4 linked regions of the Caenorhabditis elegans genome follow. The protein of the gene in region 3 interacts with the protein of the main gene of each other region in a pairwise test. Each region holds a gene or a part of one and is shown on either strand. Other genes may lie near its edges.

Region 1 (3,695 bases), 3.0 Mb from region 3:
ACAATTTCGATGACAATACTCTTAATTTTTGAGAATCTCCAAATACGTAAAAACGCTCGCATAGCTTCTGCAGTATGATCGGGGCATTCAGTTTGACGTCTGAACATTTATTAAGACTTTGAATTTTCTCTTTTAATTTGAAGTTTTGAACAAAGAATACTCACAGTGAGGTTCCTCGAAACTCCACCATTCTGCTCACAACTCTTCCAATCTCATTTTTCCATTTCATTATCAGAATAGTTTTCTGAAAATAACTGGGTTGAATAAACAAAGTAATTCAATTAAAACTAACAGCTGTAGAGGGAAGCTCCGTAATTCCGAGTTCGTGAAGCTTATTTGGAAGAGTTGAGCATATCTGAGAGTTTTCCCAGCTGACCAACATCATGTTTTGTTTATCCTGCAAACGGATTTTTTCTTTATCTAACTGATTTGATGGAAATTTGAGCAAAATGATTTCGCAACACTTACTGGGAATGGTAGTCGAGTGAGAATATTTCTGCGTATTTCTCGTGGCAAGTGCTTCCATCCAGCCTCTTCTTCTATAATTTGGCAATTTCAGATTTATCTTCATTATTAAGCATTAACTAACCCTCGAAATCCATTATTTCTTCCAGTGCCATTTTGAGTAGAATGGAACAGCGGAAAGAGAAGAAAATCGGCAGAAAAAACGGGAACCTCACGCCCAGAGGCAAGAGACCCAGAGATGTAAAGAGAGGCCGTTTGAGAAAGAATATCAATGGCGCAGGTCGATCAGAGACATGAAAATAACACAATATAAAATGAGGATGCACAGAAAAGACGTGGAGGATAGAAAATGAAGTTGGAGAGAATGGACGATTTGAAAATCAATTTTTTGAGAGTACTGTGCGAGTATTATGACGTCAATTTCTGGAAAGGGCAGAGTACATTAGTTTTTAGAAAGCATGAACAACATCACGGAGAACATTAACTAAAGTCACCATTAAAAAAACAAAATTGGAAATAGAAATTCCGAATTCGTTTGAACATTTATAATGAACACTCGTTGTACTAATTGGAGGCAGGATTAAACACATTTAGATTGTCACACGGGGCCTAAAGCGTTTTTATATTCTTAAAGTAATCTCTTAATGTATAAAAAAGAGACATTTCCCTTAAATTGGAAAGTTAAGGAGTGTCACAATAGGAAACAACTGGAAAACAATTGAGAAAATCTAAACTTTAGAACTTAATTCCATTTTTTCTATCTCAATTCCGTAACTTTCAAAAAATCATAATACGCTTTACGAGGGAATGTTAAATAATGAAATATTTTAGAATTTCAGTGATTATTATAAACTATTTAATACCAACAATACTATCCATATCAATCAGTTAAACAATCGTTTAAAAATTCAAGACAGTGATGACAAAATGATAGAAAATAGTAAAATAGCATATTGCAAAACAATCTGATACAAATTTGACGAAAAGAATCCAAAAATTGTTTAGGAATTTCCTAACCATGCATTGCGTTTGAAACACCGCGCGAAGTTAGATGTGCAGGTTACCGGGTTACTGTAGTACGGGACCCATTAGCTTCGCAGATGCGCGGCCCAAAACATTCATTTCGATTTTGCAGCTTGAAGTTCACGCGCCGTGAGCTGTTTTTCTCATTTCTAAATTTTTTTGCTGCTGATTTTCGACTTTAGTTTTGGTTACGTTTTTGAGCATGAGCACATAGCTTCTGTTAAATATTCTTTTTAATCTTTACCCAATTTTTGTTTAATGACTTATTAAAAGTTACCCTCTTACAGTCAACCTCACTTGCTTCAACCAAATTTACGACTATGTCGGACACCGCAAACGCCGCTGTCGAAATCGGAGAGGAAGCTCTCGAGCAGAAGCTCGAAGAGCTCTCTGTTCAAGATAAGACAACGCCAAGCAACAGCGAAGAGAAGATGCGTAAAAGAGTATGTTACACATTTAAATTAATTTAGTAATTACTTAATTTAGCGTCTGCCGACTGCTGAGCGCATCCGTCTGTGGGAAGAAGAGCAGAAGTCGAAGACAGCCATTACCACCGGACTTCAAGGAAAAGTGAAATGGTATTCTGTTCTCCGTCGCTATGGCTTCATTTCTCGCAACGATGGCGAAAAGGACATCTTTGTTCACCAGACAGCCATTGCCAAGTCAGCCACTGAAAAGTTCTACCTCCGTACCCTCGGGGACGATGAAGAGGTTCTCTTCGATCTCGTCGAGGGAAAGAATGGCCCAGAAGCTGCTAACGTAACAGGACCCAACGGAGACAATGTCATTGGATCGAGGTGAGGGTTTATATTGACCATGGAAGTTTTTAAATCCTATTTTACAGATACCGCCACAAGCTTCTCTCTCGCTTCCGCAAGAACCGCAAGCCCAGAGCTTCTGTCGATGGAGAGGAATCCCAGTCGACCGATGCCAAGCCACAGGAGATGTCGGCGGATGCTGAGAAGAAAAAGCCAAGAAAGCAACGCAAGAACAGAAATCGCAAGTCGAAGGCCCAACAGAAAGGAGCTGGTGATGCCGCTGATTCATCGGCTGTCACTGAATCTTCCGAATCTGCTTCTGACGTTGCTTCTCCAGACTCCAAATCTTGTTCCAAGATCATCACAGAGGAAGCTGGACTTTCCAAGGTTGACCGTTGCGACTCTGCACTTGGAGAAGCCGGCCTAGGAGCCCAGCCAATCGATGCTCAGATTTAAGATCCATTAATGCTTATTTCTCAAATTTGTACCTTTGTACATATACATAGTACACTTTATCATATTCCCAATTTATGCATGCTATTGTAAGTCCCTATCCCTCTTGTTCTTCAATGCCACATTGCCTCAGCTTGTAATGAGAAAACCTCTCAATAAAACCGTTTACCGGTAAATTGAATGTTTATTTCATAACAATGACTCATCATATCAGCTTCTCAAATCTTATCAGTGAGATATCTCTGATGAAAATAGGTCACCAATTCTTATTCGGCATATTGATTAGTTTCGTACAATGATTCGCATAGGACGACTGTTTTTATTCTGTTCTTTTATTTTGCACATTGCGGCAGAAAGGTGAACGAATCATGAGCAATAGTGAGAAATACAATTTCGTCTATTCAGATGTCCGCCTGTTTTCGGTGAGTATGAGTGCCCAGTTGGATTTACTTGTGAAGAGAAGCAATGCTTTGGTAGGAACAAATCCCCATCTACATTCTGTTCATTCGAGGTTTTCAAGTTTTGATGAATATTTTCAAAACGTTTAGTTTAGGTAGAATGTCGAGAGGGATTCGTTTGTTCTGAAGGAAAATGTTATCCAATCACTTCAGTGAAATGCAATCGGTACAGTTAATTTCTGAATAAGGAATGATAACAACTTGTCAGAGCAAATAAAACACAATTTTCAGACACGTATTGGTAGCTGAAGGTTCAGCTCGAAGCATAGTCTCCGATTGTGGAAAACATGGAAAATGCGTCAACGGGCAGTGCATTTTGAATAGTGGGTATTTTTATAAATTAGTTTTAAAAACTAGTTTTCTCGTACATATTACAGGAACACGAAATTCTGAGAATGCGTATTGCGCAACATATTTGACGCGCAAAATATCTCGTAGCGAAAACTACAGTAATGCTTCAAATGACTACTGTAGCGCTGGTGTCGATTTACGGAAAAGGGCAAAAAAGAGGCCCCACGAAAAGGGGAGCAGAACGAAA
Region 2 (6,522 bases), on a different chromosome or scaffold from region 3:
GGATCTGTTCCACCCAGCGAACTTCAAATGCATACTTGGTACGCGGTAGAAATAGAAAAATTAGTACTATTTGGCCGAAATTATAGAACTTTTGTCTAATATTTTCAATAATACATTCAAACTTGTAAGTTTGGTTAACCTGAAGTATTTTTTTTATTTTCAGGATGGACTGTTCTCTGCGTGAATTGACCAGTCTAATCAAAGAAGTGAATCCGGACGCTAGAAGAAAGGGCACCACATTCGATTTCGCTATTGTGCAGGCAGACCGCGGCTCGCCAAGATACATTCTACGCGATGTGGGAAACACGACGAATGGAGAGCGTGGCATTGATGACAACAAAACTGTATGTGATTTTTGACACCACGGAACCATTAGAATTTTATTTGAATTCGGAAATAATATCTCCAATATTAAATTCGTTTTGATTGAACTTTGTTTTTCAGCTACAACAATGCAAATTCGAAGTCGGTGATTTCGTCGACGTCGCGATTTCCTTGCCAAGTCAAGGACGTCGTTTCAATAACCGGGAGCAGGGAGACCGTTTCGATCATCGTCAACGCCAACGTAGTCCGATTCGCTAGACGCCTAACTGTGTGTTAAAATTCAATGATACTCTTCTGTATTTATTAATGTGTCGATTCTTTTTTTTATAACGTGCAATGTAATATTCTGCGTAAATCATGTTTTCCTTTACAATTGTTCAACATACTTAACAATTTACAACAAAGTTTACTTTCACATTTACTGGTCAAAATTGCAAGCTATTTAATTTTAAAAAAGTTTTGTTTTGTGATTATGCAAAAATCGGAAAAATGATCGCGATCAAACTGCTTTCAGCGAAAACTAAAATTTCTTCTCGAATAATTTATTGCTTAATAAATGATAATGGACGGGGGGTAGAGCAAGTAAGATTATTGAAAATCGAAATTTCCAAAAACGTTCTAATTGGAAGTTTCTTTCGCCTTCGAAAACTCCTAATAAGAAAGTTGGAGGAAATTCGCACAGAAAAAAAGGCAGGTAAAACAGGAGTATCTACTATTCAAACTATGTGTCAATGTACTCTACTCTAGATTAAATTACAAAAGGATTCTTAGTTGAAATTATAAAAACATAAAGGGGAATACGATACAATTATGGGGAAAAATGTAATAAAGAATGTTCAGAAAAACAAAAGCATGGGAATTTAAGTACTTGTATAGAGAGTAGGTATAGGGTAGTGGATAAAAAATGTTGGTAATATGTAAAGGGGGTGAATACGTGACAATAAAAGAGAGAATCTCGGGATTACGCCCAGAAGTTTCGCTTCGGAATGGTCATTCCGTTCATTGCAACGGACATCTCATCAACAATGGCTGCCGCCAGTTCTTCTCGCATGTCTTCGTTGATGAGTTCCGAATGGTCTTTGATGATGCGGTTCTCAACTGCTTGCAAATTCACGTAACGCCTGGAAACATTTGTTTTTGATAAAGATTTTTAGGAAAATAAACTATTACTGATGAATTTTGTAATTGTTGCGTCCTCGTTTAGCCAGATTTTCTGCCGCATAAAGAACATCTGGAACCGATGGTGGCTGGTAGGACACTTGATGACCGAATGCGCGGAAGTACGTCAAGTGCATGAGCTCGTTTTTAGACCATTTGGCATCATTGACAAGGATCGTGTACTTGCACGGACGAACGGTACCCTAAAAGAAACTTTCATTTAATAAATTAACTAATGAACAACTTACAATAAGCGGCGTCTGTGAAGACAAAATGAACTCGTCGTATCCGTAGGATGTCAGGACATTCTCGACACATGTTCCAGATGGGATGTTCTGATCCGTCGCTCTGTTGCCACTGATACATGATGGAAAAACGCGAGCATGTGAAGCTCTTTGTGCGATGATCACCACGAGATGTGGACGGTATCCGGGCTGAATCTTGTCAAATGTTCGTCGCATCTCTTCGACTTCTTCCTTAACACGATTGAAGTTTCCTTCTCCAGCACCAACACGATAGATGACGATTCTTGTTGGGAGTGTCTTCGAATGCTCCTTGTACGATCTGACACACTTTGGGAAGAATTCATCAAGTTTTTGAAGTTTGTACTCCTTTTGGGTTTGAAGGTATGTGAAGCCTCCGAGCTGCGTCGAGTTGGTCAGGGAATACGAGACTCCAACAACTGATGGCTCACCATCCATTTGTGATCTACTGCGATCGAACAAAGTGCGTGATGCGCCATGAGAAATCTCGAATCCGATGAATTGTACATGTTCGAGAAGTTTCTTTCTCAATGTTTCATTGTTTGAGCACACTGCTTTTCCACGCACAGCATTCGGGATCTCGACGAAGAAGTTGGTTCCACCACACTTGAGGTTGAACTTTCTCATGACGTTGTCAATCGTTTGGCGTCCACCTTGACCTCCCATCATTTTATCGACAGTCTGTTGACACAATTGGATTGTTTGCAGGCCAATCGATTCCTCAAAGTATTTGAGTATGTCGTGAACATCCGGCTTCTTCTCCCTTGCTATTCCAACAAGAATGTCCACTCTATCATCGAGCCATTTCTTCATCAGATTTTGGATAGCAACGGAATCACTGGAGTTCAATTCACGGATGGACCAATCTCGCGAGTCCTTTTCGACCGTGATTCCATTGTCACGACAGAAATTGGACAGCTTGTCGCAGAAATCTCTGAAAATAGAATATTATAAAGCAGAAGAAAACAACGTTCGACTTACTCGGCCTGTCTCATTTGGATACAGTTGTCAAAGACAACAATACCAATTTTTCTGATCCGTGCTGGTTCGACAAACTTGTCCTGTGTGCGGAACGCTGGACGGCTCATGTCAGGCATGTAAGTCTGGCCCTTGAACTTGATTTGAGCTGGTGGGAGGAGCTTCGCAGTCATTTGGATTGGCTCAGTCGACATCAGTTTGATTCCGAAAGCATCCATGTACTTATTTTGTTCAAGCTTCAAGTTGTCGCGGAGAATATCTTGAACCAACTTCACATGATGCTGTGGCATAGACGCATTTCTTCCTGTCATCGCCGATTGTACTGTCGGGCTCATCTTGTTGACCTTGATCCGCTGGCCTGGAGCAATTCGAAGCAACTCCATTGGGAAGAAAGATTCATGTTTGAATCTTTTTGAGACGACGAGAGGAAGTCTCGGATATTTCAGCTTGATGTTGTACTGCAACAGGAAATATTCCGCCACGGTGACCTCGCGTTCTCCCTTGTCGTCCTTCATCATGAACGAAGTGCTACAAAACAAATTGTTATCACGCTGATGATAACTATCGAATAACTTACTTCTCAGCATTGTTCTCGGCAATCGAGGATACGCGAATAAGGTTACCCTTCAAGTGAGTGCATTCCACGTCCAATCCTTTGAGTGCTTCTTCAATGCATCGCTTCGTGTTTCCTCTTTCGCCAAAAGCGTGTTCCAACTCAGCAGCATCACTCGGAGAGTAGTCCGCTCCATTTGAAGAACCACTGTCTCGACGGGAATCGTACATGTCGCGACGTCCTCTGCTTTCATCTCGGTACCTGTCGTTGCCACCTCGGTTTCCATAGACACCACGAAAGTCTCTCGAGTCGGAACGGCCGCCACGGTATCCACCACGAGAGTCTCGCGAGTCACTTCTTCCGTATCCGCCTCTTCCACCGCCTCCACCTTTCATTTCGGATAACTTGTTGCTTGAAAACTTGATAACTGATGTATCCTTGTAAAATGGAGAAATCTTCGTATCAACCGTCATGAAAGCTTTGCCACCTCCGTTTTGCGATAGACGAGATACTTTCGCAAAACCTGAGCGGATCTCCGAAATAGCATCAGGTTCCGAGTGTGGCGGAGAAAGACGTGGGAATGTGGCATTACCAAATTGTAAGTAATCCTCATTGTTGAGCTTTTGTGAAGTGACGATTTCGATAATACGAGTCAACTCCATACGATTAGCCTCCTCCTGGGCAACTTCTCCTTGGGTGTACACAAATCCGGCAGGTTTGAGAACAACAAGGTAAGAATCGTCCTTTCTGCGAGACAACTTCGACACGAATTTCCATTCTTCCTTCGGGAAGTCATCGATCGTCAACGTGACTTCTTCTTGATCGTCACCAGTGTAGACTCCCTCCGGAAGATAGAGAGTCGCAGCGCAGTCGTAAGCAAGGAAGTGGTGACTCTTTCCACTGAACTTCACCAGAAGCTTGTCATGTACTGTTCTCATGATGTAGTATTGTGCCAAGCGACGGTTATGGGAATTGACACTGGAAAGTACTGATTTTGAGCGGTTATACAAATTAAATACTTACTCTCCCTTGGCCGCCAAAACTCCAAGGTTGGCATTGATCTGTTTTCCGTTGCTGGAACAGACGATGACGTCAACTTGAAAGCGTTGGATCTTGTGGGGCATATCCTTGATGTCCACTGGAAACATGTTCATCTGAACATTCATCGTGTCCATCGTTGCGAAAGAGTCCCGTCCAATTGGTGTTGTTGACTTCGGAGTAGAGAACATTGGTGCTGAAAAAGACAATTTTGAACTCCTAGGCATAATGTTGATTCTAAACGAACCACTTCTCTTTGACGTCGGTTCGTCCTTGTCCTGATTCATTCGGTTGTCTCGTTTGGGAATCCTGTTGGAAGACGAACTTCCCATAATTTTGTCGAGCAAGTCGGCCATGTTTGACTGAAATAAGAAACGATGAAACGAAAAAACGATGCGAATTTCAGATGTAATTGAGATAAAACAGTGAAATTTACTAAGAAAAAGTAAATGAAACAAAAGCTTTACCGTCCTGATTGAGATTTTCAAGTAAAATGAGAAAAAACGCAAGGAGAGAAATGAAATGAAAATAAATAAATTTTAGGCCAGAAAATTCGAGAAAACACATCCGTGGCGGTACAAAAGTTCAAATCGTGGCGCCACATGCGTTGTAACAATAGAGCGCGCTTGCATTGTGATCTCTTCGAAAAATTTCACGTCTAGAAATCGAATTTTATTAGTTTTCAAAAACTTAACGACTATTCTGAACATTTCAAATAAAATAATAGAAAACAATATTTTTAAAAAATTAATTTGTTATGCTTCAATAAATATTAATTATTTAATTCATTTCTACAATCAAAACGATGCTGGTTTTTCAAGTTTTCTGCTTTTTCGTCTCTTTTCTGGCAAATTCAATAAAATGCGACATAATTCATCTCAAACATATGCCTAAAATTCTGAAGGAAAAGGCGTTGCTCGAAAAGCCGATAATTCCAAACAGGCTGCTCCAGCCATTCCTTAATGAATCAATTGCTCATATTTTGATGAATCCGTTAGCTGAAGTGAAGACGAATGCGACGGAAATTAAGTTTCTAAATTATCTAGAAGATAAAAAGAAATATGAACCCGATTGGACAATTCGAGAACTTGAAGATAAAATTGTGAGCTTAATAAGTCATTTTTCAAGTCTAGAAAAGAGTTTCAGAGCCTATCAGAACTGGTCAAGACTTGTCTAGAACACCACTCGTTTCTAGATCTTCCAGATTTATTTCCTCGTTTTCTGTGTGGTTTGTTAGCAGTGTATAGGGAACAGAACACGACAAGTCTTCCATATACTGGATCAATATTTTCTCGATCATCAAATGCAGTAAAATTTCTAAATGATCCAGAGAATTATCCATGTCATTCTATGAATATGACTGATGTGGTGGCACTGGTGCCAGGAAGAATATACAGTGGATGTGTCAAGGATACGGTATCCTTTTCAACAAAATTCTGAAAATCCAGTTATCTGTTTAGGACCCTGAAAAATTCAGTCAATTCGATTCCGTCTTCATCATGTCTCATCCATTCCCAGATGTTCAAAAGTGTCAACAACCTGTGTCAGTGATGCCAAAATGCGAACTGCGATCGATGCTAGTGCAACACAAGATATTGTATCAGCAAAAAGATTGTTGCTGCGATTCCAACATGTGTGCCGTGCTCATCTTCACTCAGACCTCTTCACTGACTCCGCTTGTTTTAAAGACGATTGATTTGACGAGAGAGACGATGGTCCCGTTTCCAGTGACAACGACAGAGATCTCTTTAAATTCAATGTTTCAATAAAGTCAACAATTTCAATAACGCATAAAATGTAAACTCAACAGCAAAAATTAACAAAAAAGAAGATTCAGAATAAAATGGGATTAAAAAAAAAGAAATTAACTACTTCTTTCGTTCATAGGTCCATTTGTAGACGGCTGCTCGCATAGCTTTCGCCTTTTTGACCTTTTGAGGCTTCAATTCTGATTTGCTTCCAGCTGCCAATTGTTTCTTCAATTCCAGCTTGTCCACGACCACTTGAAGCTCCTTGGCACGTTCCACGCGTTTGATGAGCTCGTTGTATCGAGTACGACGTACACGATCGGCTTTCTGGAATAATTTTTATTAAGATTTTTCATTTGTTTTAGATATTTAAGGGGTACTTACTCTGACTTGTTCTTTTCATTTGTTTTAGATCTTTAAGGGGTACTTACTCTGACTTGTTCTTTCGTACCAGCTCCAA
Region 3 (3,894 bases):
TGCAATTGGTCCTTTCAGCCAATTCATGCTCAATCCTTTGTACAATCCTCGTTTCAAACCCTCTGAAAATTTGATGTTTTTGTATTGTTTGCTGTATAGTTTATTCTAGTAAAGCCCACTCAAATATTGTGAATTGTTCGGAGTTTTATGTGTAGCTATAAAAAATTACTTTAGAAATTCCAAAATCTTGTTTTAGAGGTGGACGGCGGCAATTATTGAAAAATCATAAATATTGCGCCATGTTCACCCCATATATTTTTTTTAGAAAATCGTAGTATAGAAAATCACTTAAATTATCCAAAAAGTTGATATTTGCCCAAAAACAAAGTTAGATAACTCGATAATCAGTAATTGACAACTTTCAGATCATTTTTAAGCACTTTCTCAAATTTTTCAACTGGAATTAATTTGATTTTCGGACACATCAAGTGATTTTCTATACTTTGACATTGAATTTCAATTAAAAAAATGTTGGAACAAGCAGGTTATTTTGTTTAATTGCAACCGCCCATTTCTGATAGAACTATATTGTCATTATAGTAAGGTTTAAAAAAAACTATAATTCAAAAAATAGTCATACCCGTATGATAAATATGAATTAGAGCTCTAAGAGGACTCCATCCACTCGGAATTCGCCCTGTTTGCATCCGCCTTCTCACAATATCGAGTGGATATGACGATGATTGACCGATCAAACCAGCTAACATTCCAAATAACATTCGGTAGTAGGAATTTTCCTGAATTATCATACATAATAACGTATAGAAATAATTTCTCAACTCACAACTTCACCTCTATGATCTCGATACATAATCTTAAGAGTTTCGTATGTGAAGAAGGAAGATCCAGCGTATGGTATTACTCCTGTAATCAACAAAAATCGATAAGAAAGATGTTTTTCATAAGAATTCCTACCTAGTATAGTTGGATAAATCCCTCTGTACAATAGTTGAATACCACCTTCTTTATATGTTTTTACAAAAACATGTTTCAAAGAACTATATTGTAATTTTGAAGAGACTGAAAGACGAGCTTTTGCGGTGTCTAAAGGATAAGTGATCATTGTAGCTGTTGTGGCGGCAAGAGAACCTGTTATATATCGTTTCACGGGTGTTCGACTTCTGGAAATTAACATTTTGAAGTTAAATTTGCCACCTCGGTGTGAAAAAAACTTTAAAACTCACCCATTTTCGTCAACTTTCAGCAATTTTTTATACTGCTCGAAGGCTGCGAATTGCATCGACGCGTATGGCACAACACGAGCCATCGTCGCAGAATTTCCACGATACAATGCAAAGAATCCATTTTCCCGATATGTTAGTTTTATGAATTTAATGGCAGATCGGAATGAGTAACCACGTGTACTTGAAACTGGAACATACAAAAAATTAGGTGTATTTTCGATTGTTTCGAAGTGACATAATTCTTACCTTGAAAATAAATTTTAGTTCGATCCAAAGGTGCGATTGTAGTTTTGGCTAAAGCTCCGGCGATCGCGCCTGCGGATAGTGACAAAACGACACTGGGCCTCTGTTTTCCCTGAAAATATGATTTTATGACAGAGATGTTCCAAAATTTATTTAAAATCTTACCTCATTTGAGTCGTGCGGCATGAAAATTGCAAAAAAATCACGAGTCTTTGCTGGTTTTTCTAGTTGGAATGATACAAAGTCAACGATTTATCTGCAAGATCATCATGTGTTATTGGATATAAATTCACATAATTAACATAACAAAACGATTCAAAAACGAAATTTCAAAGAATGTCTAGAGTATCATACTGGGAGCAAAGAATTTCAAGGTGAAGAGTAATGAAAAAAGTGATGTGTGATTTTTCTCTGGCGTCTCTTTATCTTCCTTACCGATTGTTTACACTTAAAATGTGACTGGCTAGTAGTTGATAGGCGAGCGTTCTTTGACGTCTGCGTCTTAACTAGTTTCTCATTGAGATGTTCGTTTTAGACGGTCAAAAATTATAGAAATGAACAAAATATTGTTGTTTTTTAGATTTTTACGATAAAGGCGTGAAAATTTTATAAATTTGATTCAGACGGACTAGTTTTCACACGTTGCAACCGCGCCCCATGGACAAACTGTTTCTAGGCCATCTGTACATTTTTTTTGTAATTTTGTTTTCAAACAATTTTTTCCAGTTTTCAATTCATTTTTTTTAATTTGCTCTTCGTCAATATTTAATTGTGTACTCTAAATTGGTTCAAAATTTAAATATAATTTCAGTTAAAATGGAAGACATCTGGCCAACAATCGAAAGAACAACAATTTCAGCATCTGTGCCCGAGGCTCCAGCGAACTTTGATGAAAAACCTCCGTTCAATCGAACAATCAACGTGTATCCGTTGACTAATTACACATTTGGTACTAAAGATGCACAAGCAGAAAAAGACAAATCAGTTCCAGAAAGGTTCAAACGAATGAAAGACGAATATGAAGTGGTAGGTGTTCTCTAATTGTCTCCAACCGATATCAATTATTTTTTTAGATGGGAATGCGTAGATCAGTTGAAGCGGTGCTTATTGTTCATGAGCACTCACTTCCACATATCCTACTCCTGCAGATTGGTACCACCTTTTATAAATTGTGAGATTAATTCCTATTAAAATCTGAAAGTTTCATAAAAAAATTGCAGGCCGGGTGGAGAATTGGAACTTGGTGAGGATGAGATATCTGGAGTCACACGTCTTCTAAACGAGACACTCGGAAGAACCGATGGGGAGACAAACGAATGGACAATCGAGGATGAGATAGGCAACTGGTGGCGACCAAACTTTGATCCTCCCCGTTACCCGTACATCCCTGCGCACGTGACAAAACCCAAGGAGCACACCAAGCTGTTGCTTGTTCAGTTGCCCTCAAAATGTAAGAGACTGAAAAATTGATAAGATCAAAATTTAAAGTGTCTTCGAATTTTTTCCCTAATTGAAACCTAAGCAGTTTAATGTTTTGTACATTTCAGCAACATTCTGCGTTCCCAAAAACTTCAAACTCGTCGCAGCTCCACTCTTTGAACTTTATGACAACGCAGCCGCCTATGGACCACTGATTTCCTCTCTTCCAACCACTCTTTCGAGATTTAATTTCATTTTCAATGACTCCAACTAAATATTTTTATTATCTGTTACTTTTTGTGTCTTCCTATTTTGTAAATGACCTTGTTCACTCTAATTTTGCTCCTACCAAATCTTCGATTTTGTTATGTATGATCTCTCAAATCGTTAGTATGAATTTAAAAATAAATTATTTCTTCATTTTCATTCGTTGTAATTTAATTCTTCCAACAACAAATATGATGAAACAAATTATGCAGATCGTGGCTTGTATACAAAACACTGTGAAGACGCTTGTTTCGATGGAAATTCTGAAAGAATATTTCATATTACGTAGAAGTTGAGAAAATACGCCATATCTTACGGTCTTGGGTCTCGCCACGCGGACAACCAGTTATTGTAATTGAATCTTGATATTCAAATTAAATGATAATTTCTGACATTATTTTTAAAAAAGTTGCTAGCGTGGTGAGACCCATGCGCGAGACTCATGCCTCTTTAATTTAAGCAGGAAATAAAATACAATAGAAAAGTAACTAAAGAAAACGTAACTAAAGAAGTAACTAAAGAAAGAAAACTAACTTACCTATCAAACTTCATATTGTTAATTCTTGATACGGACGTTGTTGTTTCAGTGTTTCAGATTGAATATAGCGAATTTTTCGTTCAAAATGGATGAACGGCTCACAAAACTTTCAATTCACATTTAGAAATACATTGAGAAATAACAAACTCAAAGAAATAAATGATTACAATTCAATAATTTTTTTGAAATCAGATTCTTTGACGCGAGTGAATCGAAATTAATGATAAGATTCATTTTCGATTT
Region 4 (3,514 bases), on a different chromosome or scaffold from region 3:
CCAGTCATGAAGTCTAATTCCGCTTGATTCTGAATTCCACTGACGACTGCTCCTTGTGCAGCACAAGCGCTATCCGCATCCGCGCGACACCCAGAAGCAATAAATATCTAAATTGAATGAATTTCATAAACTATTTGTCTTATCAACAAAGCTTAATTTAGTTGCAAACTGTTTTTTTTAACCCAATAAGGTTGTGCAGAACGGCCAGCCACTATCGCACATAAAGCGACTTTGTGAGCTTATAGATTATTTTGAATCGGAAACTAAAGTAATCCTACATTGTAGTTTTCCTGCCATACCAACACAGTACTCCACTACAGTCCTCATATTTACATCCCCGCATATACTAATTATTAGCACTATACTGGCCAAACATTTGGAAAGTTAGAGTTTATAATAGGGATGACGTCACAGACTACAAACATCCAAACGCGAAATGACTATAAACTTGTCTCACCTGGATACACCATGTTCCACTAGGCCTCTCGAATTGTTTTCATCCAGTTGGACATGGAACTGGAAATTCAGAAGAATTGAAGGATTTTCTTTCGAGAAACTAACTATAAGATTTTGTTTGCAGTCAAAACAAGTTGAAACAGGAGTAGAAATGTTGTTATCTTGATATCTTGCGAATTAGTTTGAACTTTAAAAGCCTCCTCTCGATAAGATTTTAAAAAGTTACAAGTAGTAGTGACAGGTTCCATCGTAGTTGTGGTGGTCGTGGCTGAAAGTCGTGAAATATTGGAGTTCATGGGGTACGATTACTTTCAACTTGTTGCGTTGGTATACAAGCATTGATAAGTTCCTCTTGAAAGGAAAAGGAGAAGAACGGCAGTGTTCATGTTCTACGGCGGAAATTATTGTAAAAAATTGTATTTTGTTGGATTTCCAATAACTTACAGCATGCCAATAGAATCCTGTTTAATTTTCGCAAGTGGCTTTTTTTTTGAATTATTGAAACACGATCAGATGACAAGCGATTTGTAATTGCCTACAATTATTTTCGTTACTAAAATAGTCATGTAAAACTACCGTTGTTCTTCAGAATTTGTTCTAATTTGGTAATTTAATATTTTCAAGACTTTTGCAACCACACAAATTGTGCTAAATTATTTTTTTAGAAAGCCGAAAAGAGTTATAAGAAATTCAGTTCTAAATGAAAAACCTTGATGAATCTCTGTTAATACTAAAAAGTTAGCGAAATAGGCCAGAAGCCTGAAAAAGATTGCCGCATGCTTGCAAGTAAAAAGAAATTAGGATGCTTAACTCGGGACTTTTTAGGTCCCCTGAAAAGTAGATTCATATACCGTATTTTCTCTATTACTAAGGCATGCAATACTATTGTTTGGGCACCTATTTAGATGTAAGAAATAAAATAAAAATAGATGCCAACTGCAAAGTTGCTAGCAGTACAGTGAATAACAAGTGGCTAGTTGAAATTACTTTTCTGTTGTAGATGTATGCAGATATATCTTCATTAAATGTTGTATCACAGTTGTTTTGATTCACCATATCTTGTTAGTCAACTTACCACAGAGAAATGTCGTCGGCCAATAAAATATTATCCTTCTTATGGGGTTATTCAAGTAGTGTCGGAAAATTAAAAAGTGATCTTGCCAGTTAAAAAAAAATAACTTCAAGATAGAATTTTTAAAGTTTCAAGTTCCATTTTTTTAAACATAAACTGATGACAAAACTGAAAAGATTTTAATTTTTGAGACTTCAAATGTGCTTTTGATACTTTTCTTGTCCTCAAATATTTCTCCAAGTTCATTTTGTGTCACAAATTTTGTGTCTCGGTGTCGTCTGCGTCTCGTCTTTGTGTATTTCGTTGACACAACGGAGTATAAATATTGGTGAAAGAATCATTGAAAAAAGTTAACAATTTCAAACTCTGAGCAAATGACTCGTTTTGCTGAAAAAGTCGCTATTATCACTGGTAAGACTTATAATTTTAATAATATAAAATACATTTAAATATTGATGGTTTTTAGGTTCTTCCAATGGAATTGGTCGAGCAACTGCTGTTCTCTTTGCACGAGAAGGAGCCAAAGTAACTATCACAGGACGTCATGCAGAAAGACTTGAAGAAACTAGACAACAGATTTTGGCAGCTGGAGTTTCCGAGCAAAATGTGAATTCAGTTGTTGCTGATGTTACTACTGATGCTGGTCAAGATGAGATTCTCAGCACAACTTTGGGAAAATTCGGAAAACTTGACATTTTGGTGTGTAAATTTAGTCAATGTTTTTTTCCCCAATAATTTAATTCAATTGTGAACTTTAGGTTAACAATGCTGGTGCCGCGATCCCAGACTCCCAAAGTAAAACTGGAACTGCTCAAAGTATTGAAAGCTACGATGCTACTTTGAATCTTAATTTGAGAAGTGTGATTGCACTGACAAAGAAGGCTGTTCCACATTTGTCTTCTACCAAGGGAGAAATTGTCAATATTTCTAGCATTGCTTCTGGACTTCATGCTGTAAGTTTTAAAATTATAACATTAAAAGTTTCATTGATGCCTTTTTAAGACACCAGACTTCCCATATTACTCAATTGCAAAAGCAGCCATTGATCAATATACTCGTAATACAGCAATTGATCTTATTCAACACGGGATTCGTGTTAACTCAATTAGTCCAGGACTCGTTGCAACTGGATTTGGTTCAGCAATGGGAATGCCAGAAGAAACATCAAAGAAATTCTATTCGACCATGGCTACGATGAAGGAATGTGTCCCAGCAGGAGTAATGGGACAACCACAGGATATTGCTGAAGTCATTGCTTTTTTGGCCGATAGGAAGACATCATCATACATCATTGGACATCAACTTGTAGTTGATGGTGGAAGTTCTCTTATTATGGGACTTCATTGCCAAGACTTTGCAAAACTTTTACATTAATTGTTTCAGTTATCTGTTGTTTTATTAATCAATAAACTAGCTTTTAAAATTTTGCGAATACGACAAAAATCGTCTTGATGTCACGATTGAAATTAAACTTCTAAATTCAAAACCAATCTACTTCTGTTTCGAACAAAATGAAAAATATTCTATGTCGATAAAAATTGTATATGACAACTTGAATGTTGAGCAACTGAATTCTCTTTTACTTGAATGAGCTAAACTTTTAGAAATTGCGCAAAAAATTATTTATGACAGTAAAAAATTTTGAGAAGATGTCTAAATTTCGCTAAATATACATCTTTTACACTACTTTTGAAATATTTTACTTGTTTATTTTTCGTTTTTAAGTATAAGAACAAAACTTAATGATAAAATTCGGTTTTCTGGGTTCATTTTTCAACAGTAAACATATTTTTAAAAAATTTTGAAGATGTTTATCTTTAAGCCTTTTTTAAAAATAATTTTCAATATTTCAAAGATATATTTATTTGGTCATTGTTTCAAGAGAAAAAAAACAGGAAAATGTGTACAATGTGTACGTACTGGCAGATTGCTTGACTTGCAATCTTTGGCTAGAAAAAGTGGATTTTGAGCGAATTTAGAAATGAT

What was found.
Region 1: the proteins of cfim-1 (region 3) and cey-2 interact in a two-hybrid assay, tested with the Caenorhabditis elegans proteins (one large-scale study listed by BioGRID).
Region 2: the proteins of cfim-1 (region 3) and hrde-1 interact in a two-hybrid assay, tested with the Caenorhabditis elegans proteins (one large-scale study listed by BioGRID).
Region 4: the proteins of cfim-1 (region 3) and D1054.8 interact in a two-hybrid assay, tested with the Caenorhabditis elegans proteins (one large-scale study listed by BioGRID).

The regions. Positions count from the first base shown.
Region 1 is NC_003279.8:5,617,794-5,621,488, forward strand, and holds cey-2 (CSD domain-containing protein), read left to right. Parts: upstream 1-1,775; 5' UTR 1,776-1,808; coding exon 1,809-1,931; intron 1,932-1,974; coding exon 1,975-2,285; intron 2,286-2,332; coding exon 2,333-2,702; 3' UTR 2,703-2,875; downstream 2,876-3,695. Other genes in the region: xrep-4 (F-box domain-containing protein), read right to left, coding at 3-99, 165-244, 293-397, 469-539, 590-620; F46F11.7 (Tenascin), read left to right, coding at 2,995-3,056, 3,105-3,210, 3,253-3,323, 3,389-3,480.
Region 2 is NC_003281.10:4,171,484-4,178,005, forward strand, and holds hrde-1 (Argonaute protein hrde-1), read right to left. Parts: upstream 4,677-6,522; 5' UTR 4,671-4,676; coding exon 4,562-4,670; intron 4,511-4,561; coding exon 4,300-4,510; intron 4,255-4,299; coding exon 3,301-4,254; intron 3,252-3,300; coding exon 2,727-3,251; intron 2,680-2,726; coding exon 1,731-2,679; intron 1,686-1,730; coding exon 1,495-1,685; intron 1,446-1,494; coding exon 1,286-1,445; 3' UTR 854-1,285; downstream 1-853. Other genes in the region: C16C10.4 (putative histone deacetylase complex subunit SAP18), read left to right, coding at 1-38, 164-344, 445-582; C16C10.13 (Rab3 GTPase-activating protein catalytic subunit), read left to right, coding at 5,300-5,416, 5,461-5,730, 5,775-6,083; utp-11 (putative U3 small nucleolar RNA-associated protein 11), read right to left, coding at 6,183-6,389, 6,494-6,522. UniProt on the Caenorhabditis elegans protein: Argonaute protein which is involved in the endogenous small interfering RNA (endo-siRNA) pathway and is required for RNA-mediated gene silencing (RNAi) in the germline.
Region 3 is NC_003279.8:8,613,150-8,617,043, forward strand, and holds cfim-1 (Cleavage and polyadenylation specificity factor subunit 5), read left to right. Parts: upstream 1-2,238; 5' UTR 2,239-2,243; coding exon 2,244-2,453; intron 2,454-2,500; coding exon 2,501-2,598; intron 2,599-2,647; coding exon 2,648-2,877; intron 2,878-2,974; coding exon 2,975-3,120; 3' UTR 3,121-3,255; downstream 3,256-3,894. Other genes in the region: slc-25A42 (Mitochondrial coenzyme A transporter SLC25A42), read right to left, coding at 1-62, 581-737, 785-864, 916-1,121, 1,185-1,371, 1,431-1,539, 1,593-1,613; F43G9.21 (uncharacterized protein), read right to left, coding at 3,256-3,376, 3,652-3,665.
Region 4 is NC_003283.11:10,782,421-10,785,934, forward strand, and holds D1054.8 (DeHydrogenases, Short chain), read left to right. Parts: upstream 1-1,890; 5' UTR 1,891-1,902; coding exon 1,903-1,939; intron 1,940-1,994; coding exon 1,995-2,227; intron 2,228-2,286; coding exon 2,287-2,481; intron 2,482-2,530; coding exon 2,531-2,902; 3' UTR 2,903-2,947; downstream 2,948-3,514.